Struthio camelus: one gene and its partners. The protein of the gene in region 1 interacts with the protein of each later gene in a pairwise test. Links are inferred from orthologs where the notes say so. Each region holds a gene or a part of one and is shown in the gene's direction. Other genes may lie near its edges.

What was found. The genes of interacting proteins can lie anywhere in the genome.
Region 2: the proteins of SP4 (region 1) and NRF1 interact in binary tests that used the Homo sapiens proteins (3 or more experiments, as listed by UniProt). The two-hybrid records come from large-scale screens. The link is inferred for Struthio camelus from reciprocal best matches to the Homo sapiens genes SP4 and NRF1.
Region 3: the proteins of SP4 (region 1) and POU2F1 interact in binary tests that used the Homo sapiens proteins (3 or more experiments, as listed by UniProt). The two-hybrid records come from large-scale screens. The link is inferred for Struthio camelus from reciprocal best matches to the Homo sapiens genes SP4 and POU2F1.

What each region holds. Positions count from the first base shown.
Region 1 is NC_090943.1:36,661,067-36,669,354, forward strand, and holds the start of SP4 (transcription factor Sp4), read left to right. Parts: upstream 1-5,113; 5' UTR 5,114-5,638; coding exon 5,639-5,645; intron 5,646-6,041; exon of another isoform or gene 6,042-6,225; intron 6,226-6,327; coding exon 6,328-6,428; intron 6,429-6,912; coding exon 6,913-8,288. UniProt on the Homo sapiens protein: Binds to GT and GC boxes promoters elements. Probable transcriptional activator.
Region 2 is NC_090942.1:1,752,716-1,760,114, forward strand, and holds the start of NRF1 (nuclear respiratory factor 1), read left to right. Parts: upstream 1-4,344; 5' UTR 4,345-4,502; intron 4,503-4,858; exon of another isoform or gene 4,859-7,399. UniProt on the Homo sapiens protein: Transcription factor that activates the expression of the EIF2S1 (EIF2-alpha) gene. Links the transcriptional modulation of key metabolic genes to cellular growth and development.
Region 3 is NC_090942.1:105,798,384-105,806,448, reverse strand, and holds the start of POU2F1 (POU domain, class 2, transcription factor 1), read left to right. Parts: upstream 1-5,010; 5' UTR 5,011-5,081; coding exon 5,082-5,145; intron 5,146-8,065. UniProt on the Homo sapiens protein: Transcription factor that binds to the octamer motif (5'-ATTTGCAT-3') and activates the promoters of the genes for some small nuclear RNAs (snRNA) and of genes such as those for histone H2B and immunoglobulins.

The sequences.
Region 1 (8,288 bases):
TGTATTATACACATAGGACTTGTGTCTTAGATTGAACTGCAGCACATTTTCTCATCCTCTATCTGTTTCTTTGTAAACTGCAGCCCTATTCCATTCGTGGGAATAGGGGAGGGGAAGCATGCCTCTGTCTTTAAAGTATCGAACACACTGGAAAAGTTCATATCAAATGCCACAGACCTGTCACAACACCCACCTTCATATCCTCTCCATTTTTGTAAACTTTTTGCAAGACCAGCTGAGCGTATATCTGAGCATGGCAGCAGATCTTTAAGACGCAGTGCAGATTCATGCAGACTTCCTGTACTAGAGGTGGTGTTTCCTGCACGCAGTGGGCCACTTAAAATGAGACAGCAAAGTTGCAGTTACACCAGGTGCTACCTTCTGCATAGTGAGATACTGTGACTGATGACAAAGATAGGATCCCTTTCAATGATGTGTCTGGCTCTGTGAGATGAGTTCTACAAAAACGGGTGGTTCAGCAGTGAAATGAAGATCTTCAGGGAGCACAGCAGTCATGGGAGGTTTGTGTAAGTTCAGCCCTTATTTGATGAGGTAATGACTAGTATAAGATTGTGCTGCTGAGCACATAGGCAAGGTTAACAGTAGTCATGTGCAAACTCAAAATGTATTCCCACTATACAAGTGCTCTGGCAGCATGCTGCATTTGGAAAATTATCAGTAAGCAAGGTTATGAAAACTACCATCTGACTAAGAAGTGCTGGCAGACTTTTCTTGGATACGCTTTCTCAACTGCCTCAGGGTCATAGCATTCATTTTTGCCTTTGGTCTTTCTGGAGTTAGGATTCTTGACCCCAGTTCTGTTTGAGGTCCCCCAGCTTGACGCATTCACACAGAGATGGCGCTACAGAATTCGTTCTGTTTGTTCCCATGGTGTTTTCCATGGATGTTTTCCACAGCATGTTCTCCACAGATCTTTTCCACGGAATCCAAACAGGTTAAGTACCTCTGACTTGGTCCACTTGGGATCATGTGGAACAATGTCTAGGGAGCCTGCTTGCCAAGTACACAATTTCCACTGTGGCTCTGGTCCAGGCTCTGTCTGATCAGTAACATTATGCCATCGCCAAAATCTTCAAAGCTGGTGTTATTGGAGCCAAGATAGTTTACAACAAAACACTGGAGTCCAGCAAGGGCCCAGATAAAAGGGGGAAAATATGCACTAAACCATGAAAGTGATTTCCTGTAAGCTTTTGAGTTCCAAAACAAAGGAGCACTACGAACAGAAAGGGGACATGAAGAATTAGCAAAAGAGCCTTTGGGCTGGCCAAAAAAGGTTCTTTCAGAAATGTGGATATCTGATACCTGGTCTTGCATAATCCTGCCAAACTAAAACTACTCTCTTATTTATTTATATATTCGCACAAGCACCACCTTTGGTCAGAGTGATTTTATACCACTTCAGTATTTTTTGTCTAAGGGCTGAAGCATTTTTAGTCTCATACTAGCTACTCTACAACCACATTTACAGTTTTGTGAAGCCACAGCCTCTGCTGTTTACAGCTGCTGCCTCTTGGCTCTCTCTGTCCAAATGCAACCTATGTAAATGCTGAGAGATAGTAGAGAGGTTAACCAATGAAACTGGAGCATGCAGCCAGCTGTCTCTCCCTCCCCCTTCACGCCCCTCTCTTTTTTTTCTTTGTAAAGATATTTAGGTATTACTCTAGTCAGCATTACAAACCTCGCAGTGCTCAGCAGAGCAATGCCTAAACACACAAAAATCTAAGTCAGTGTGTTATGAAGAATAAGGCATACGATAAGGCTTAGAGGGCAAGCTAAAAGTGATGTAAAAGAAGATACAAGATAATTCTGGAGCAAAAACAAGAAATACAAAAGAGAAGTAGGAAACTTAGGTAGAAGAATATTTCTGAGGTGGAGAAAACAGTGGGGATAAGAACCACGAAAGACAGCAGCATGTAAAAAAAAATGGGAAAAGCAAGATCCAGGGATGTAACTCCACAGAGAAAAAAGTTAGAAATAGAGAAAATGAAAGCAAGTTACTAAGGAGTGGCATCAAAAGATTAGAATTCCAGAAACAAAACTTAGAAGAATAGCTAAGCAAGAGAGACAGAAAATTCCACATTTGACACAGAGAAGGGATAATTAAAAAAATTAAAAGGAAGGAACTAAACCCTTAGTGATGACACTAAAAACATATATATACACAATAAGAGAAATGAAAAGGAATCGAGACTCAGCACTATGTGGATTTTATTAGTTTGGGCCCTAGTGCAAACTAGGGATACTATGCCCGAACTAAGTCTTGCCAGGAACCTTGCATTTAAGTGGGCCTCCGCTCAATGAGGCACTTCCGTACTGTGGTCTGTCTCACAATGTCAACATGTTTTTGAAGTTCTAAGCACAAAAGAAATTTGTGATGAAAACTTTTTCATTTTATTTTTTCCTGTTTCTGATACTTTTCTTTCATCTCTCCCAATAGCATGTGGAACTCCTGTGTCAATTGATACATTTTATCAGGCCTAATCTTAGTTCTGTTTAAATCCACAGCTGACTTTCATGAGAGCTCACAAAGACCAACTAGTATGAGGGTGCACAAGGTAAGCACTGGTTCATGTGGGAACTAAGCTGAAAGAAGCATGCTCAGAAAGCTTGAGTACCAGTTGGTGGAAAGAATTTGAAGAAGACTGACATTTGGAATTTGGGAAAGAGTAGGTGGTATAGGAGAGTAACTGTGGATGGTAAAAATATATAAAAATCATGATGCCCCTACTGAAACCACCTACACCACCACCATCTTTTATCTGTCTCTTCAATCACATACTGAGTTGAGAGAAAGCTTTTACTGTTTGCACCCTAGGGCCAGTTTTTCAAAAGTTCTGTACCTACAGATGTAGATTGGAATCCCGTGAAAGTTTAAATCTTTTGTATGACTTTTGTATGTAAATCTTTTGTATAACACCTCTCACTGAAAAGGAGCAGCCTTGCTAATACATTTGCCCGTTCTTTATGCACCGCCTCCTTCCGGAGGTGCTTTGTACATTGCACCTGCAGGCTGGGGTTGCCCTGACCCACCTCACTTAAGACCTACCCTCGCTGCTCCTGGGCCTAGAAGCTCCCCCGGAGCTCGGCGCTGGGCCCCAGACCTGCACCACAACGACCTCGCAGCCAGGCCCATCCCCGTCTCCTGCCCTTCTGGCTTGCCAACTGGACTTGCCGAGGTGACGCTAAGCCTGATTCATCACCTCACCTGGGCTGAGGACCACTGGATAGTGGACAGATCCTGTCACTGTCACCACCCTGGACCTGTGGAGACGTAGTGGGACTGCGCCCTGCCCGCAAGGGCACTGCTCTGCTGGTGCTGAGATCACCCCAACTGTGTCTCCCTCCCGGAACAGCCCCCACTCTGCCTGCTCTGACACTGCCTATGAAAAGGTGTCAAGTTTTGGCTGAGCTATAAGCTATGGCATATTACTGTTTGCTTTTCTAAATATAATTTACTCAGCATTTGTAAGGCCATTTCCTGATGCATCTGCTTGTGACATGTGTATCCAGAGTGCGTACAACGCCTAATAACAGCCTGCACCACTTGTCTTTCTGATCATTTTCTTACTGTATGCAGGACATACTTGGTATTTCTACATTTCCTTTATTCCAGAGGATGTGCTGAAGGCCTGACATGGAGATTAAGAGCTTCCTCAGCCTTTCGAAGGACAAAGCTGTTGGACATCTGGTGAAGAAATTATTTGTCCCACACTTTTGTCATTAATTTGTGGTGAATGGGTGCTTTGTATTGTTTGATTGACAAAATTTGGTATGTATTATAAAAAAATTAAACCTGCCAAGCAGCACATCTATACTGCTACTGTCATATTTCTTCCAAATTCAAATTGGGTTAACAGGCTTAATCATGTTCCCAGTTCTTGCAAATCTACATGTCTTCCCATCACACCTCCATGTACGATGCCTTTTAACTTACCCAGTTATCTTTCTGAGTAAGTCAGGGAGAGTGGGCAACACCACTGACTCACACGCATGCACACAGACACACACAAGGAACAGAGTGTAAGGGAACTGGAGAAAAACTTAGAAAAGAAACAACAAGCACAACGATAATTTATCTGTTTTTCATGTCATGATGTCCAAGCTGGCCCACCACAGGCTTCTGAGCACCACCTACAGCTTTGCGAATCTGAAGTAACATTTAGGTGAAGCTTTCAGTTGAGCTTATTGACCTAGAGCCCCTCTCTCCCCCTAGCCCCAACCGCCCCGCCCAGGCCAACGGCTGGCAGAGGCACCGTAACGGCACCTGGCTAGTAGAACGCCCGTCCCCCCCCCCCCCCCCCGCAAACGCCCGCCTTCCTCTCTGCGCATGCGCAACCGCCACTCTACGCGCCCCCGAGCCCGCGCCGCAACCTGAGCCCAGAACTACACGTCCCGGCGTGCCCCGCGCCTCAGCCAGGCCAATGGAGCGGGAGAACACACGTTCCCGCCTCCTCGCCCCTGGCTGCGGGAAATATCCCCAGCAGGTGTGAAAGAAGTCCCTGGATCCCTGGCTGCCCTTCCCCCTCCTTCCCAGGGGTCCCTCTAAGCCGGGCTCACGGGGCACAGAAAGCCCACTAGCAAGGCTGCTACAAATGAATAGCAGAACGAATGGTGGGGAGGGGGGGAGTGGGCCTCGGCTTCCATGGAAACCGCTGGGGTCCTTCCTCCCCCTCCCTAACCGTGCGGGATGGGGAAGGAGAGCGCGAGCCGGGTAACGGGCGGGGGGTGGGGGGAGGAAGAAAGGAGGGGGGCGCCCGAGGGGAAGCTGTGGCGCGGCTTCCCGCGCGCTGTCAGTTACGAGCGCGCGAGGCGGGCAGGTGCCGCCGGGTTGGCCAGCGCCCCGCGCGCGCCCGCCCGCCCCCTCGCCGGATTCGCTGCTCGCGCGCGCCCGCGCGCTGTCAATCAGCGCCCGACCCGCCGCCGCGGGCCGCGGGGAGCCTAAAGGCTACGGCTCGGCCGGGGCCCGCCCCGCCCCGCGGGCTGTCAAGAGCGGCACGAGCGCGGGGGAGCCCCGGCCGCCCGCGCTCAGGGCAGCCGCTGCCCCCGCCCCCGCCGCGCGCGCGCGCCTCCGTAGCCACGCCCCCTCCCGCCCGGCGCGAGGCGCGGGCGACAAGGAGGAGAAGAAGAGGAGGAGGAGGAGGAGGAGGAAGACGGCAGCGGCGACCACCCTTCTTCGGCCCTGCTGGGGCCGGGCCCGCCGGGCGCTGCGTCCCGCCCCTGACCCGCCTCCTCTGCCTCCGGCGTGGGGAGCCGGGCTGAGGCGGAGAGGGGCTGCCGAGAGGCTGGCGGCTGGGCTCGGTTTCCTGCTCAGTGGGCGTCAGTTGGGCCCCGCCGCGCCCCGCCCCCTCCGCCGCTCTCCCTGCCCCTCGCCGCCCGGCCGGCCGGCTCGGAGCTGTCACTCAAGGCGGCGGGCTGAGGCCGGCGGCGGCGGCGGGCGGAGAGACAGGCAGCTACGCCACAGCCCAGCGGCGGCCATTCGTGGAAAAATAGGCCGTCCCGCTCCTCCCAGCTCCGGCTGCGACCGGCCTTCTCCCCGCTACCCCCACCCCACCCTCCGCCTCCTCCTCCTCCTTCTCCTCCCCCCTAGAGCGGCGCCTCAGCGGGGCATTAATGCGGGATGAGCGGTATGTAACCCCCTCCCTCTCTCCCTCCTGTGCACACCCCTCCCTCCCTCCGCTCCTCCCTCCACCCTTCATCCCCCCTCTATCCCGCCCTCCCGGGTTCCCCCTTTTCTTCCCTCATTCTCCCCCTTGCTACCCCGCCCTTCTTCACTCTTCTTTTATTGCCCTCCACCCCTCTGTTCTTCTTCCTCTCATACCCCCTTTCTTCTCTTCCTCCGCTGTGTGCCCCTCTGACTTGCCTCCTCCGTTCCTCCCTCCTCCATTCCCCTTTTCTTCGCTATCCCTCCCTCCTGTGCACATCCCTCCCTCCTTCATTCCTCTTTTCCTCCCTCTTTCCCTCCCCTGCTCAACCCTCCTCCTGCCCCCTAAAGCATCGACGGCCACTCAGTGGCCGTCGATGCTTTAGGGGGCAGGAGGAGGAGGAGGGTTGTGGGTGGTTTTTTCCTGCTGTCTCTGGGAGAGGAAACCAAACCTCCCCTTTCTGGGTGTTAACTCTCCAGCCCCCATGGGTTGGGTTTCAAACCACGTTTCTTAGGACTCGTTCTTTTGTAATAATGCTTTGCACTGTTGTTTTCATGAAGAGGTAAAGGCGAGAAGCAGGGAACCAAAAATGATATGCGCATAGGTTTTGTTATTGTATAAATGAAGGTGAATAATTAACCTGTTACACTTGATATTTTTGCAGATCAAAAGAAGGAGGAAACTATGCCCACAGAGGGAGAGAAATCTCCCGAGGCAGAAAATAGCAGCAATAATAATAAAAAAGGGAAAACTGGAGGCTCACAGGTAAAGCACACACACCCAAATAGGGAAGTACCCAAATTATTATCATTTAAAATGAAATGTTCAGCTAATAGTATTTCCTGCTTAGGGCATCTTTCTTTGGGTTGGATGAAATATAGTTGATTGAGTGAAATATCTTTACTGCCTGGACATGTTTTTTGTTTGCATTTTAGAGTGATCAGCTGCTTTCCATATATTACAGATGCTCTTTTTTATTCACTTTTTAATTCCTCTGGGGGGAGGGGGAAGATTGGAGGGAGGAAGAAATGGTCCTGGCTGTCACATATTCATTGATAACTGGTGGCCTTATGTTTAAAAATTATTTACAGGAACATGTACTTCCTCATTCAGAGCTGTGTGATTGGTCTCCGTATGTAGAAACACTCTTCCCCCCCCCCCCCCACTTCCTGTGTAAATTTGAATAGTTATTTCTGATGGTTTGTGTTCATGCTCTTCTGAATCTGCTCCGTTTTTCCTTTATGGATAGGATTCTCAGCCTTCACCTCTGGCTTTGCTAGCAGCCACTTGCAGCAAAATAGGAACTCCTGGTGAGAATCAAGCAACTGGACAACAGCAGATTATTATAGATCCAAATCAAGGTTTGGTGCAGCTTCAAAATCAGCCACAACAGTTAGAATTAGTAACAACTCAGCTTGCTGGAAACACTTGGCAGCTTGTTGCTGCTGCTCCTTCTGCTTCAAAAGAGAATAATGTTGCTCAACAAGGATCCTCTGTTGCCTCGAGCGCAGCTAGTCCCTCCAGCAGTAACAATGGAAGTTCATCTCCTTCAAAAACCAAATCGGGGAATTCTTCTGCAACAAACCCTGGACAATTTCAAGTCATTCAAGTACAAAATCCAAGTGGCAGTGTCCAGTACCAAGTGATCCCACAGATTCAGACAACAGAAGGTCAACAAGTTCAAATCAATCCTGCTAATGCTACTGCTGTACAAGATATACAGGGTCAAATTCAGCTTATTCCTGCGGGGAATAATCAAGCTATCCTCACAGCTGCAAACAGGACAGCTTCGGGGAATATTATTGCTCAAAACCTAGGAAATCAGACAGTTCCAGTCCAAATTAGGCCTGGTGTTTCCATACCATTGCAGCTGCAAACTATTCCTGGTACTCAAGCACAGGTTGTAACAACTTTACCTATAAACATTGGTGGAGTAACCCTAGCATTGCCTGTGATAAACAATGTCGCAGCAGGAGGAGGTTCTGGACAAGTTGGCCAGTCTACTGAGAGTGGAGTTTCCAATGGAAGTCAGCTAGCATCTACACCTGTCACCACTGCCTCCGTTAGTACAATGCCAGAATCTCCTTCCTCATCTTCCACTTCTACGACTACTGCCTCAACATCTCTAACTAGCGGTGACACTTTAGTAAGCTCTGCAGAAACAGGCCAGTACACAAGCACAACAGGTAGCAGTTCAGAGCAGACAACTGAAGAACCTCAAACAACTGCTACAGACTCTGAAGCCCAGAGTTCCAGTCAGCTCCAGTCGAATGGACTACAGAACGTTCAGGATCAGTCAGGTTCCCTTCAGCAGGTCCAAATTGTAGGTCAGCCCATTCTGCAGCAAATACAGATCCAGCAGCCTCAACAGCAGATTATTCAGGCCATTCCTCCACAGTCATTTCAGCTCCAGTCAGGGCAAACTCTACAGACCATCCAGCAGCAGCCTTTGCAGAATGTTCAGCTGCAGGCAGTGAGTCCAACTCAGGTGCTCATTAGGGCTCCAACTTTAACACCATCAGGGCAAATCAGCTGGCAAACTGTACAGGTTCAGAATCTACAAAGCCTTTCCAATCTTCAAGTTCAAAATGCTGGGTTACCCCAGCAACTAACCATTACCCCTGT
Region 2 (7,399 bases), on another chromosome or scaffold:
GAGATCAACCTTCCCACATAAATCCAGTGAGGTAACAGACTCTTCTCTATTGTAATACCTGTTATAAAATGAGCAAGAGCCGGTGTGTTCAGGAAGTCTAAGAAGTCCTAAAGCTGTAGCTGTATCTCCAAAACGTTTTTTGGAGAACTCTCCCTTCTCTCCACACTAGCTTTGTTGATGGGAACAAAAGATTGGATTGACCTAGTCTAGCAGACATGCTAAATGTGCTAGTGAAGGCACGTGTCTCATCCCCTTATGAGAACATAATCTCTCTCTGTGGTTCCTAAAATCTGCAGTGCTTTTTCACAGTTGCAAATCTTCTAGTTTTAACTTAGCCACACTGCCACATAGGGGAAGTCTTCACTGGAGATGATTGACCTTGGGCTCTTTATTTATGTATTGACCCTAGCTTGGCTCCTGAAAACATGTAAAATCTCTGACCAAAGGCTGGGGGTGCTTTCAGGCCAGACCGGTCTGAGGCTACTGGCCAAAGCCCAAAAGCTGCTTACCCTGCTGCTGGTAACCCACCCATTTTACAAAGCAGAGCCAGGCACTCCCAGTCCCCTTATGCTTTCCTATGCATGTCCTACCAGGCAGTGCTTCCTTGTTACTCATCCATCTTCTTGTTCTGCCCCAGAAGTCACCAACCAGAGGCAAGGCGAACTGTTAAAACACACTCGCATCATCTTCTGTCTGATGTCTCTCCCATGATCTCACAGCACCCGAGCAGACACATCCAGAAAAACACCCTGCCAACACACTGCCAGCAGGCTGGGCACCAAGGTGCTGCAGACTTCACAACTTTGCAGAGCTGTAACAGGGTTGCTTACGAACGTGTTCCACCTGGTGGATTAGTAATGTTGTCCACGTGTTATCCCCTTCTACATTTTTCTCCTCCCAAGCCAAGGATGCGGACATGTGAGCCTTCGTGGACCTGCCCTCACTCTTCTGGGCCTGCCCTGTTACCAGAGCTACCTTTTCTCACCCTGCACCATTAGCCCTCACCTAGCTAACCTCCTCCCCCTTTTCGTGTGTGCTGCGTAGGGCAGGTCGTAACAGCCCCCGCATCCCCATAGGAGCGCAAGCCCGGCTCCCTCCCCTTCCGCTGGCCACGTGCACTTTTGTACTTGCAATTAAACCATCTTTTATCGACCTTTTTTATGCAGGATTATGAGTCTATGACGCAGGGCTGTCTGGGCCTAGCTAGGTCTCCATGATAACCTGGGCAAACACAGGCTGACGTTCTGATTTTCAGGCAGGAAGAGTCTTAGCTTGTTCCTACTGGAAGATGTTGCCTCTCTGGAGGACGCTCCTGGTGCATCCCAAATGCATGTCCACGCCATTGCCTCTAGAGAGGTTTGGTCCTGTGTGCACTGTTCTCCTCCGTTTACAGGACTACGGCACTTTGAGAAGGGTGGAAAAACGAGCATGTGCGCCAGGCCCGGCACATTCAGCAGCATTTTCACAAGCGCATGGGTTGATCTGCCCATTCCAAACCAATTAGCAACATGTGGCCATGGAAACATGCAGCTGGACGGGACCCTGAGACGTCATGGCATCCATCCCTCTCCCTGAGGCAGAAGCAACTCTACCTACAGCATTCCTGAGCGGTGTTTGTCTAACCTGTTCTTAAAACCTCCATGGGGGAGATTCCAGAGCCTCCCTCAGCTCGCCCAGTACTATTGTATCCTACCACCATGACATTTTTCTAGTGGTTGATCTAAATCTACTTTCCCATGCTGTACAGCTAGCAAGGAAGTGACCTCCGTCATGCAGAAATCCTGGGCCACTGCTGGTTACACCAGGCCTGCAGAATGGCGCAGCGGCAGCACTTGGTGCTTGTGGCCCTGCTTCAAAGCAGCCGATGAGCGCAAGGGAATTCCACGGCTATGACAGTCGGCATCAGCTGCCTCCACACGTCTGCTGGCAGCCTGTGCCATCGCTTCAGCCAGGCGCTCCCCCGTCTTTGCAAAGCAACAAGCCCCAGCCAAAACACCTCCCAGTTCTGCAAGGAAAGTTGTGTTCATGCCAGCAACTGGAGTAAGTCATTCATTTGGCCTGGATCCATGTTTTGTGCCTACTGGAGACCAGTGACAGAAATGCAGAGCATCCAAAACTCAGAGTGACTCACTTAACTGAGTCCAGGGGCTAAGACAACATCCGTGCAAAAAGCAAAGACGATTCTTCCCACAATGCACTTTGAAAGGTCGCACGTGGCAGCAAAGCCCCTGAAGAAACGCAGGGGAACTGCACAAGCAAGAGCTGGAGCGTGACTTTGCAGAGCGGACGTTCGACCCAGACCTGAGGTTCGACCTGAGGTGCCAATCGCCTCTACAGGGTCTGCGCACCTATCGTCGTTTTCCATACCGTATTCTTGCAGCTTCAGGGGGGATATAATATGGTCATAACTTCCTGCTCTAAGAAGTCTTTTTTTTCTCTTCTGTTTCTTAATAGAAAAAATTGGTTGCTGTGTTCCATTCCACCGATCAGATGACGTAATCTCTGCATTCATCTGACTATCAGTTTATAAAATGTGCAGAGTGCTGCGAGCTGCTAGGCATGTAAGAGGCCTCCATCTTCACAGGGACTAGTACTACAAGCTTTAAAGAAAGCTGTAAAATCCTGATAGCGGATATTAGTATAATGACAGAAATTGTATTATTTGTAGTACAATGACATCCTCGAGGAAGAGGCTTCTAGTAGGCGGCAGTTGGTAAGGTGATGTCCTGAAATTAAAACAGATGATACACATTTTACCCTAACGAGAATAAACTATGATTACTCTAATATGAAAATCTAGTCAATTTTTGACCCACCAGATCTTTGGCAGAGAGTGCATGACACATACACAACATCCTTAATGAAGGGGTATTACTGAAGATATTTTGCTTTCCAAGCTGCAGATCTGGGAAATCACTCATCCCTATACTTTAATGATTCCCTCATAAACCGCTGGCAGGACATGGTAGGAGTGTTTTATTGCTCTGCAAGGGCAACATGCAGGTGTCTCCCCCAAGTCCTCGCGGACTCTGGGATGAACACAGGTCTGCCACGGCACCTTGTGATTTGTGTGCTCGCCGCCTTTGGCGATCCAAAGGTTTCTGCCAACTTTCCTGGTGTCCCTGGGATGAACACAGGTCTGCCACGGCACCTTGTGATTTGTGTGCTCGCCGCCTTTGGCGATCCAAAGGTTTCTGCCAACTTTCCTGGTGTCCCTGGGATGAACACAGGTCTGCCACAGCGCCTTGTGATTTGTGTGCTCGCCACTTTCGGCGATCCAAAGGTTTCTGCCGACTTTCCTGGTGTCCCTGTAGCCGTTCTTGCTGCATCTTCCATGCCATCCCTTAAGCGTGGGAAAAACGTCTTAAATTTGATCACTTTAGTCCATCAGATTCCTTTTTGTAGACTCCGGTCTACAGAAGACGCATTTATACCCGTTTTTATTATTTCCCTCCTCTCCTTTTCTCTTTTAAACCTTCCTCCTTTACGTTTGAGGTCCTATTGAAATCACAAGCTGCTTGGGGACCGGGACAGCCGTTGACCGTGGACATCTTCCAGCAGAACAAGGCCCTGATCCTCAGAGATGTCTCTGAGCTCCAATACCAGACAGCATTACCGTTCGCGTAACCGAAACCCTGATGGGAAGGACCACGGCTGAGTTCAGCTGCTTCGAGCCGGCGGCCCTCGCCGGGTTACTTTGACCTTTTTTTTGGCCCAAATTAGGTCAGCAATCTGGCTTTCCCGTACCACCTCAAAACAGTGCAGGGCAGGTGGCAAACGGAGGTGGGAAAGCGCGACCCAGCCGCGGGCAGCGGGACGAAACGTATTTTAGGCGTTGCAGCCTCAAAAAGGGCCGTCAGAGCGAAGGCGGCTGGAGGCGCGAGGGCCCTGTCCGGCCGGTCTCTGCCGCGGGTCCCCCGCCTCGCTGCGGGGGGACCCTGCTGGGTCCCTTCGCTGGCCTGGCCACGGCCCACCGCTGCCTCCTCAGCGCTCGCCCCGCTGCCCAAACCCCCTTCGCACCTCCACAGTGGGATGGTGCTGAGGGGGAGCCAGGGGTGGGCCGCGACCTCCCCAAGATGGCCCCCCCCGCGGCTCATCCCAACCCACGCGGCGAGAGAAGCCGCGACCTCCCCAACATGGCGCCAACCGCTCCCCACTCCGGCCGCGCGACAGCAGCAGCAGCGGCGGCGGCTCTGCCCTCCCGCACATGGCGCCTCTGGCCCTTCTCATTATGGCGGCGGCGCCGGGCTATGACGCCATACGTCCTCCTCCTCCTCCTCCTCCTCCTCCCCCCCCCTCTCCCCTCTCCCTCCCTCCTTCCCTCCCTCCCCCCCCCCCCGGCCTCCTCCCGCCGCCGCCGCCGCCGCCGGTCCCCGCCTCTCCCGCTCGCCATTGCGGCGGCTCAGGGCGAGCCGCGCCGCGTCCCCGCTCGGCTCCCTCCCCGGCCGCCGCTCTGGCAGAGGCTCCACGGCGCAGGCCCGCTGCAGCGCAGCCGCTCTGAGGTGAGTGTCCTACCGCGCAATCTCCCAGCTCCTCCAGCCCCGGCGCAGCCGCAGCAACGCGGGGGCCCCCGCCGGCCGCCCAGGCACCCCCGGCTGCCGAGCCCGCGCCGCCCCGCCCGCCGCCGCGCCTAGGCCGCGCTAGGCCCCGCCGAGGGGCAGCGGAGGCCTGAGGCGGGCGGCGGGGCCGCTGCCGCCCGGTCGGTGGCGGCCGCTGGTCGCGGCGGTGTGAGGCGGAAGCCGCCGGGGCCCGGGCCGGAGCCGGGGCCGGAGCCGAACGGGCCGCGCCGGTTCTTGCGGCAGGTTCCCGCTTGGAAGGAGGCGGCGGGGAGGGGGCAGTTTGGAGTCATTTGGGCGGCTTTTGTTTTTTGGGGAGGGGGGGGTTGGTCTTGTCTCTTTTCTTTTTATTTTTTAATTTGCTTGGTTCCCTCCTGCCGGTTGGATGCGCGGTGGCTCGGCTCGGCGCTGCCCTTTTGTGCGAGGGGGGGATGAGGGTGCTGCTGGCCTGAATTTTGTCAGTCCGCGCGTGTTTTTTTTTTTTTCTCTTATTCCTTTTTTTTTTTTTACCCCCCTCTGTAATATATCCCCCCCCCCCAAAAAAAAAAAAAGGGTGGAATAAGTCCTGTCTCTTTGTTCTTTGGTGATATACAACGTTTGCCTCGGAGGAGACGCGGCTTCGGGACTGAGGCGGTCGGGACCTCGCTGGGGTAAATAACGATTTCGGGACGGGGACGTTCAGCACGCTCGTCTTCGCCCGTGCGGGGCTGGCTACCAGCTCTGAGCTTTCCGGCGGCTACCGACGGTTTTCGTAAGGCGAGGAGATGTCCGCGCCGCTCTGAGCCTCGCATCTCGGTTTCCTCTCTCCGTTGGAGCCACCAGTTTCCAGATTTGGGTTTTTTTTCTTTCTTTCTTTCTTTCTTTTTCTAAACCACCCCAGGAAGGACGTCGCGGTTCTGGTTGGTGTCGCTGGTGCGTCCGCCGTGCTGCTGTCCAGCCGGAGTTGCGGCCCGCCTGTCCCCAGCGTCGTGGCGCCTGTGCGCGGCCCGTGTTTTTTCCGAGTTTCTTTTGTGGCGCCGCGGCAGCTCGCCCTCGTCCTCACGCCAGCGAGCGCCCTAGCTGGCCTCCTGCGCCGTCGGCTTCGCGGTGGCTCGTCTTTTAAGACTGTTGTATTGGGTTTTTGTTTTTTCTCCCTAGTTAGGTCCTAACCCTGGGAAAATAGAAAGTGGTTGTCTTTTTTCAAATTTAGGAGATCTCTCTGATGAAATTGGGAGCAACAATTTTTTTTTTTTTTTTTCCTCCCCGTTTGTGGAGGGAGCGGAAGTCGCGTGAGGAAGATGTTAACTCAGGAAAGGTCGGGATTATGTTAACTCTTCCTTCGGGGTTTTAACGCTGGCCATCGCAGCTAAGCGTCGTAACGTAGTCTTTAATTATAACGATCTCGTATGCTCGTGTAATTTGGTACATGTGTTTACTATTTTGTAGAGGCTCTGTTTTTTTAATCACGGTTGCTTCTCGGCGGCCTCACGTCACTTATGTACCGGCTTCACCGCGAACGAGGCACGGGCCGTTACGCCTGCGCCGTACACGCAGCGAGCTGAGGGACCCTCTGCCTTACCCACGGCCCGTTTTACGCAGTTCATGCGACTCCGTGTACGGAAAGAGCGTCTGCGTCTTACGAAGCGTGTGGCCCGATGCACGTTTACGGTATACGGGTGGACCGAAGCGTGGCTCTTGTAAAACGTTGTTCGTTGGCGGTCTGGATGTAGCTAGCGTTCAGACGCGCGCGGGCAGTGTAATTTTTGGCTTGGAGCAGTGAAAACACTGGCTTTCGGTCGACTCCAAAAAACTTTCTGTGGGCCGCGTTAACTCGCCGCTGCGTTTCCCCTTCGCGCCTCTCGTGCTGCCCTTAGAGGTAACGTGGCCCCGGCGCGCGCCGGGGAAGGACTGCTTTAGTAGTTCTGGCGGTTTGGGCTGTGGACGTGGGCTGTGCCATCCAAACCGTGGTGTTTGCCAGAACAGCGCATCCTGACGTCAATAAGCTCTCCTGGCCAAAGCCATCTACGCCGCCAGAGCCCGTGGCGTGCGCTGCGTCGGTCAGAGGCTGTCCTTCTGCGTAGCTCGGTCAGGAAAACGCGTGATGTGATGCTGCTCGTGGAAGGATGAAGCGTCGGCGAGTGAAGGCCGCTGCTTTGGGATAAGACTGGCTGCACAGGAGTTTTCTTATTGCACTTCGGTTGTTTCGACTTTCCTGGACGGCAGCTCTATAACTAGTCAGCCGCGCAGATGTCAACTTTTGGACTTCAGGTATTTTGGCTCGAGGACTATTTAAGTGTTGGAATTTTATAATTTTTCTGTTGCGCAGAAGTCTGAATCATCTTTCCTTAGGCTTAAAACAGCCAGTTCCACTTTTGGCTGAGCTCAAGCCTGGAAGATTTCAGCCTCCTAAGTGAAAATAACAAAGAACCACAAATGACAGCAGGAGCTCAGGATGGGAGCGCTGGGGCAGCCTTCGTTGCAAAGCTTGCTTCTAGGCTACGTTTCTGTCAAACTTGTGCTGCCATGTGCGTGTTCGTACTGTGGGAACATTTCCATCACTGCTTCCACCCGCTCTTCGTTCTCCAGCGGAGGGAGATTTCCAGGCAGCCTCTCGGTCTGTTGAAGGATTTGGGAATTTTTACCTTATGCTCCTGTTATCCAGCAAGGGGATTGGAAAAGTATCTTCTGGGACAGAAGCTGAGATGCAGTGGCTCTGTAATGCCCCTGTATCCCTTTTACAAGAAAATTTAACATAGACTTCTGTACGTAAGAGCACTGCGTGCTGTCAGTAGGAATCAGGTAGTGTTGGTCATTTTTCAATGCGAGAAGCACTGTGAAATTTAGCCTTGGACCTTTTCTTTCTT
Region 3 (8,065 bases), on another chromosome or scaffold:
TTGACTGCAGCCTCTCTCCCTATAATATCTGACTGCTTCCCAAGTGTTAACTAATGATCCCTTTAGCGTTCCGTTTTAGTAAGAGGAGGCAGAGGAAAACACTGGAAACAGTTCTGTGGCAGTTTTGAACAGCAACTTGAATCAGGCAATTGCAAAACCTGCTCTCCAAGAGATCTGAATCAAGTTGTGGGGTTGTTGGCCCTTTCTGAGTAGAGAGACAGGTAGAGATGGAGCCATCCCTGCAGATCTCAGGGAGAGAATTGATAACATGCCAAACAGGGTCTTTCAGTCAAGGCACAATAGAGACAACCAGGAGCTCCTCTTCTTGGGCTGCCCAGGTGCACATGTAACAGAAGACAAATTACTTAATTTCTCTGCCTTGGTTTGCCATTCATGAAAAAGTGCAGTGATATATCCTGAATCTTCTGAGTCGGTGATTTGTAGGACATAATTGATTAAAATTGGAAGGTGCTCAGATGCCGCATTGATGACAACCATTGAAACGCGTATAAAAAATAGAGCTGGTAAAACTAAGTGCAGTGTAAGTAGCAGAGAGTGAGGAGTAGATTGAAAAACCCACCTGAAAAGATAAGTGTGCTCTTAGTGATTACCTCTCCCTTCCAAGAGGATGTGTGAAGGTTCTGAATTACAGTGTTTTTTTTTTTAATATGAAAATGAAAACCATGTTTCTTTTTCTTTTTGCTCCATCTCCAGAAGAGCAGTTAGCTAGCTTCTGGGAGAGGTAGAGTATTATGAGATGGTACAACTTTTCTGCTACAGTTTCATTAGCTGGGAGATTCAGGGGATCAAGCCAGAACTCTCAGAAATAAGAGATGCTGGGTTATCCTTTCTCCAGTCTAGAGGCAACAAAAGAGGGATAGACAGAACTAGAAAGCAGTTTGGTTGAAAGAAGTCAGAAGATTGTGCAGGGAAAAATAACAATGTATATATGCAACTGGCAGTCTTCATTCCCTTACTGCTGTTTGCATGCAGCAGTCCCAGTGTTCATAGGAAGGAGCTGTGACCAGGGGAGACAACGTATTACTGGAATGAGGTTCCAAGCTGAGGGTGGGAACAGACTGTCTTACTGTGCTCAGGAACAGGAGGCGAAAAAGAAAACAACAAAGGGGAGGAAGGAGAGAGAGCTTTGTGGTTAAAGTGCTGAACTGCACAGCCTCAGCACACCTAGGCTGAGGTCCACTCATGTTTCCACTGTGACCCTGGAGGAACTGTGCATGATCTTTATATTGCTTTTCGTCACTTCCCCTTCTCGACCAGGGAGCTCCTAATCCTATCTTTCCCTCAGTCTTTGTCGGCCATCTCTCGAAATTGCAGGCTTTTTGAGACATGGACTGTCCTTTGCTATTTGTATCTGTAGCGTCTAAAAAAATGAGACTGTAACCTCAGTTGGTCTCTCTGTAAGGGTTTATATTACATGCGAAAAATAGTAAACAGCCAGAGAGAAAAAGAAGAATGTAACTGCAGGTGAGACAATCTAAGCAGTCTAGAGGTGAAAGGAACAGAGGCAGACTGCTCTGAAGCAGAAGTCTCCATTGCAGTATGAAGAAAGTATCTGATCAGCAAAGGAAAGGGAAAGCTGAAGCAAACATGATGCTAGAAACAGGACCTCCTTGAGATGGAGAGAAACCTGATGTGAAGAAAATATAATAGTAGAGACATTGTGTGAAAAAAGCGGTATCAGGGATGCAAATGTGAGTGGCACACTGGAACTGGAACAGAGCAGATAGTTTGTTCTTAGTATCTCTGTACAATAGAGCTGGGTGATGAAAGGGCTAATTTCCTTCCCAATCTGCTTTTTGCAAAATAATGTGATTTGTATTTCATTTGTCCCCTGCCTCCCCACCTTAAAAAATATCCTTGTCTCTAACACACTACTGAATTAATTCTAGCAGGAGAGAAAATTCAGGAGGCAATGTAACCAACATAGAAAATGTATTATAGGCACAAAAAGTAGAGCACAACAAAGGATCTCTGCAGGAGCTAGGAACTAGGAGATATCTGAAAAAAACAAAACAAAACAAAAACCAAAAAAAAAAAAACAGACACAGACATATTGCTGAGCTTTAAAAGATTTCAAAATAAATTTGTACCCTTTACAGTTGTGTTCATTTTGAACACTGCTGTTTTTTGGTGCCAGAAAATATTTTTAAAGCAAAATCCCTGAGAAAAATGATTCTGCGAGGTAGACAAGTCCGTTCAGAGAACAAAAACACACAATGTCCTGCAAGGGGCTCACTGCTTTGGCTCTGTTTTAGCAAAGCACGTAAGCATGTTCTTAACTGCAAGTATGAGAACAGCCTCATTGTCTGCAGGTGAATAACTCCTCAGAGCTACAACCTAAATATTTTTGTGAAATGAGGCTAGAGTGCTCGGCTTCTCTTACGTTAAGCTTTGTATCATTTTTGTGTCCAATTAGCTCAAATTTCAAATATTCCCAACAAGCTCCTCATGAATAAGATGCCAGAAGAAGTTTGTAGAAATCACAAGCTGTTTGCAGACAATTCACAACTGAAGTAGAGGTAAAATTTATCTGATAAATTATTCATCGCAAATGATTTGGCTGGCTTTCCTGGATATATAGCCATGGGGATGTATGACACCTTGGGGAAGGCATCAGACAGAGATATGTTCAAACTAAACTAGAGAAGAGGATGCAGATGTAGATCTAGAGCAATCTTTAAAAAGGGAGGGGAGCAGATACGTGCCGAAATGGGATGGAGTTCTCCTCTTTATAGCCAGTCCATTAGAAACACAGCATCCGTTAGTAACTACTGGTTACCAGAAAAAATGGTAACACATGGGTTTGCAGAGAGCTATTCTTTGGCAGCTGTGGGGTGCAGCTAACTGGGCAGAAGCTGAGTGAGAGCAAGGACTAAATCAGGTGTGCGAGTGGGAGCAAATTCTCCCTGAGAAGAGGCTGCTATCAGGGAGGAGGTTCCTAGGAAGTAGCCTGCAGGAGTGAGACGAGTCTAAGGGTGAGATGGGAAGATACGGGGGAGAATATTCAGCGTCGGCAGGATTAGAGCTGTGCAGAGTCTTAATCTAGCTAGCCCTTTCTCTACACCTTTATCTGTCGTGGTGCAGCCACTGCGTGCAGCAGGGCTGGTATAACCTGGCCATAAAACTGGATTAACTGGCCTGCGAGGATCACGCCTGAACAGAAGAGCAGCATGACAATATGCTGTTGTTTACATTTTCACTTCTGTGAGTTTAAAAATAGATCTTCTGAAAGACAAAGTGCTTAATTACTGGCATGGAGTATCATCAAATGAATGTGTAAGTATAGAATTACAGTGTTAGGGAAAGGTCTCTGCTGTTTCATAGCACAGTCCATTTCCACTGGTGTTTTCTGCAGTATTGGGAGGTTATTTTATGATATGGAAGAATCCTCCATTATCAGAGAAAATTATTTTTAAATAAAAATGTGCAAATTACCTTTCTGATTGAGCCTGCACAGAGAAACCCTGCTGTCTCCCTCCCTCAGCCTTTCCTTTTTGGCTCTTCTAGCGACTGCCTCTGATACAAGTCATAATTTTCTCCAGCAAAGCAAGCAACGGTGGATTCTTGCCACTTCTCTGATTTCACAAGGTTTTAAGCCCCTCAAGAAAGTCTGGCTTGGACTCTGACGCATTGGAGTTAATGAGTCTTGGAAAACGGTAGACTAAGTTCTTAATGAAAACTATCCTATATCTTCTATTCCCTTTTTTTTTTTTATCATTATACAAATGTACATTACCAAGCTCAGGAATAATATATATTTATGCAATCTAACGCTTAAAAATATTAGCATGTTTTATTATTGCTCTGCCTAATTTGTCAAGTATAAGCAACACTTTGTTTCTTTAGCCTATTTAGCTTATTGCTTGTGCTGATTTGGAAGTTTTGAACCTAAAGCTGATTTTATTTGTGGGTCCCTCTGCTCTCTTAGTGTTTGCTGTACACTCTTTTAAGGTGTGTGTTGGGGGGAAGCACAAAGCCTGACTCCCCTTTCCTTTTGGGTTAGTCAAATTTGATGCAGAGCGTGGAAGAGGAGAAAATACTCGTTTGAGAAAGACACCGCAGGAGCTTTGCGCTGCCCAGGACTAGGGATGCGTCAGGGAGGGCTTCTGAAGAGGAGACTCATCTCCTTGTCATGGCTCTTCTCTGAAGGAGTAACAGACCACGGACCACGGCTGACGCACCCCTCCTCGGCACAGCACTGAGGGTCCTGTTATTTCATTTCTTTGTATTCGATTCCTTTTTATTCACAGGGGATTAATTTTGCTTGCAGCTCGGGGAACTACCTGTCTGGCAGATAACAGTTATGACGGGTGTTTCCCCAGAACAGCTCTTCTTGAAATGCCGTTTCCAGCAGCCTCACGCTTATATTTGAACGTGTTTGCGTCCAGCCGCTCCTCTTTTATCTACCGTGATTAACTGTTTGTGCGGCTCCCGAAAGGCCCGGTGGCCGAACAGTTAATAAAAAACGGATGAGGCAGGGTGGGAGTTGTTCCCCGTTGCGGAGGGCGGCTCCTGCCTGGCGCCCGCGCTGTGCCCCCGGCCGGCGGCGCCGCGACGCCCTCTCCCCCGCTCTGCGCCATTCGCCGCCCGCCCGGCCCCCGCCAGCCCCAGTGCGCAGGCGCCGTGTCCCCCTTCCCTTCCCTTCCCCCCCCCCCCCCAAGCGCGGGGAGGCGGGGGGGGGGGGCTGAAGCGCTGGTGCGCGCGGCGCGGCGGTTTACACGTTAACGAGGCCTGGGCCAAAGGTGAAGGGAAGGGAATCCAGCGCCTGCGCGGTGGCGCGCGAAGCTGGGCCGGGGGGGGGGGGCGAGCGAGGTAGGCGCATGCGCGGCGGCTGTCGGGAAAGCGGCTGGGGCGGGCGGGAGAGGAGGAGGAGGAGAAAAGAGGGGGAAGAGAGGGGCGCGCGCAGGCGCAGAGCGAGGCAGCGGCGCGGCGAGTTGGCGGCTGCGCGGTAGGGGCGCGGGGGGGAGGGGGGTGAGCGGCGGCGGGGGGAGGGGAGGGGGAGGGGAGGAGGGAGCGAGGGAGGGTTTATCGGGCGGCCGATTTTGGTTAAAATATTCAAAATGGCGGACGGAGGAGCAGCGAGTCAAGATGAGAGTTCGGCGGCGGCGGTGGCGGCAGCGGCAGGTAATCATTACTGCATTTTACATATTCATATTCATACTCGCACACGCGGCCCCCCCGCCGCCCGCCCGCCCCGCTTAGCATAATTTATTAGTACTCAGGATTATTATAATTAACGGCACAGGAGGGAGCAAGGAGGGAGGGGGGGGGAAGAAGGAAAGCAGTTTCCCCGTGCGGGGAGACACACACACACGCGCGCACACAGACACACACACACAGACACACACACACACACACGCACACACAGCGGCACACACATACTCACACACGCTCCCTCCCTCGCACTCGCGCCCGCCCGGCCGGGCACCGGCGCCGGGGCAGGCGGCGGGGCCGTTGGGGGGCGGCGGCGCGGGCGGCGGCGGCGGCAACGGCAGCGCCGAGGCGGTGGGGTCGGGGGGGGGGGGTGAGGTGACGGCGCGGGGAGGGAGAGAGAGAGAGCGGCGGCAGCAGCAGGGGGGAGGAGGGGGCAGCGGGCAGCCCCGCACCAGAAAGCGGGCGGCGGCGGCGGCCAACCGGACTCCCCCCCCCCCACCCCAACCGCCGGCCCGCACGCCCACAATAAAAGCCGCTTTACATATTCATGGGGGGGGGGGGGGGAGAGACTGGGGCGGCCGCGCTGCGGGGTTTGGGATGGGGGGGGGGGGGGGAAGGCCGGCGGCGGCGGCCGCCTGCCGCTGCCCCCGAGCGGGGCAGGATCCGCCGCTGGGGCAGCGTGGAGGAAAGGGATGGAAGTGCGCGCCTGGCTTGGGGGTGAGGGGGAAAGGCTAGGGTTTCCCCCCCCCTTCCCCCCAGCTGAGGTTATTTCCCCAGAGCCTGAGGCCTGCAGGCGTGGGGTGGATGGGTGCGGATGGCCTCAAGGAGGGGGTAGGGCGAGAGAGAGCTGGGTTTGGATGTTATTTAAAGCTTCCCCCCTCTCCTCTCCTCCCCTCCCCCCCCCGCCAAGGGTAGGGTTCAACGTGGGGTGGCTCCTCTTGGCGGGGTGGCGGAGTTTCTCCGTGGCCCCCTCTCCGAGGCGAGAGGCAGGCTGTTTGCAGTGGGGCGGGCGCGATGTGCCCACCCAGTATTTGCCCTTCTGCCCCTTCAGACTCTCGGGGGCTGCGGGCGCCGCGGCCGGGGTGCCGGGAGAGCCGGCCGGCCGGCCGGCACGGGGGTGCGGGTCCTGCTTCTTTCTGCCTCTCTCCCTCTCTCTCTCTATCTCTCCTTCTCTTTCTCATTTGAATAATGTCTAATTCGGGGAGGTTTATATTATTGAAATGGCCGCCTGGCTTTCCCCGCCTCTCATGTTTAGTAATTCAGACCTTTAATAACAGCCACTCAGAGCCCAACGCCGTGTTTATATTTTACATTCGCCCCATGTGCTTTTGTGGTTCAATATGATTCTTCTTTCTCGCTCTCTTGCTTTTTTTAAATTTTCTTGGCAACCCACAGGGCCCCGAGATCAAACCCAGGCTGTGTGAGGAGAGGAGGGGGGAGAGCTAGGCCCTGGTTCCTCTGGCAGGCGCCTAGGCCTCACTCTGCCGCTTGATTTATTTACTAATAACCAAAATGACCCCCCCATCCCCACTCCACCCCTGCCAGCAAAAACAAAACCCTCCTGGGGCTTGAGCAGCATCAGATCTGCTCATAGATTCTCAAACACTCATGTCTTTTAAATAAGAAGCTTATTTTTAATTTATAGCAACTCAGGACTGTAAAGCTGTTCCTTTCATATCTGCTCTTCAGAGGCTTGGGCATTTTTGGTCCCTTTGTCCTTGATTCTTTTCCTTAAAGGAGAGTTGCTTCTAATTTACGTTTCCTGGCACTGAGAGAGCTATAGAAGACACACTCAAAATCTAAACAGCTTTCCTCCTTCCTGTGGACACAAACAGAATTGAATACATTGAAGATAATCTTATTCTCCTTTTTGCTTAGTGTGGATGCAGTTTAACAGTGCTGTGTGTCAGATGCTTTTGTCACTGCTTGTATCTTTGACCATTCTGAGTTTTTTTTTTTTATTTAGATTTGGCTTCCATGACAGAAGATGCTACTAGGCAGTACAGGGTCTAGAAAGCAAGATAAGTTTTTTTTTTTTTTTGTGTGTGTGTGTGTTTGTGTCATAAGTTCATCAAGTGAAAATTGAAATTAATCCTCTTAAATTGTCTGGAGTAATTCTGTTCTAAAGTAGATATTAGGCTACTTAGAAAACAGATGAACTACTTTTTTAGCAAGAGGCAGTAATTTTTTAAAATTCATTTATGCAGGTATGGCCTTCAGATAAAACTAGATTTTTTCATTAATGACCATTGTTTCCACCCTGTGGAGAAAAAGGACCTGACAGCAGGGTACTTTTAAAGTGGCTGTGCCAGATTAGCATGTAAACGTCTTTGAAGCATGACTAGGTAGAGAGTTCATATACATGTGCAGCCAACATATTTTGTAGTTTGGTTCTAAATTTAATTTGTTACAAAACACTAGATTGTAGCTAATGAAAAGCATTTTGATTTCAAAAATAACAACTCAGATTATTTTTCCTTTTTCTTCACCCTTGGTGAAGACAGGCCTTGAATACTATAAGAAAAGATCTGTAGAAGAGAGTAATGAGACTGTTCAGGTGACTGACTGTTTCACAGACCAGCAGCACAAGGCTGGCTGGACAAAAAGCAGTAATATGATTTCATGCCTTAAACAGCATATGTTTTTGCACTCGCTTCACAAGATGTGGTCAAGCCGATGATGTCATTGGCCAGAGGACAAGGTGCAGTTAATTTGATTTATTGACCTGGGGTGAGGTGTAGCACTGAAACCTTCTCATAGGGAAACCATTTATCTGAGGACAATTTCCTTTATAGCAGCAATTTAACCACTGCTGAGACTCTAGATGTTTTATCCAGCATGATAAAAATGTACATTGCATCTTGCAAACAAAATTTCATTCTCACTGACA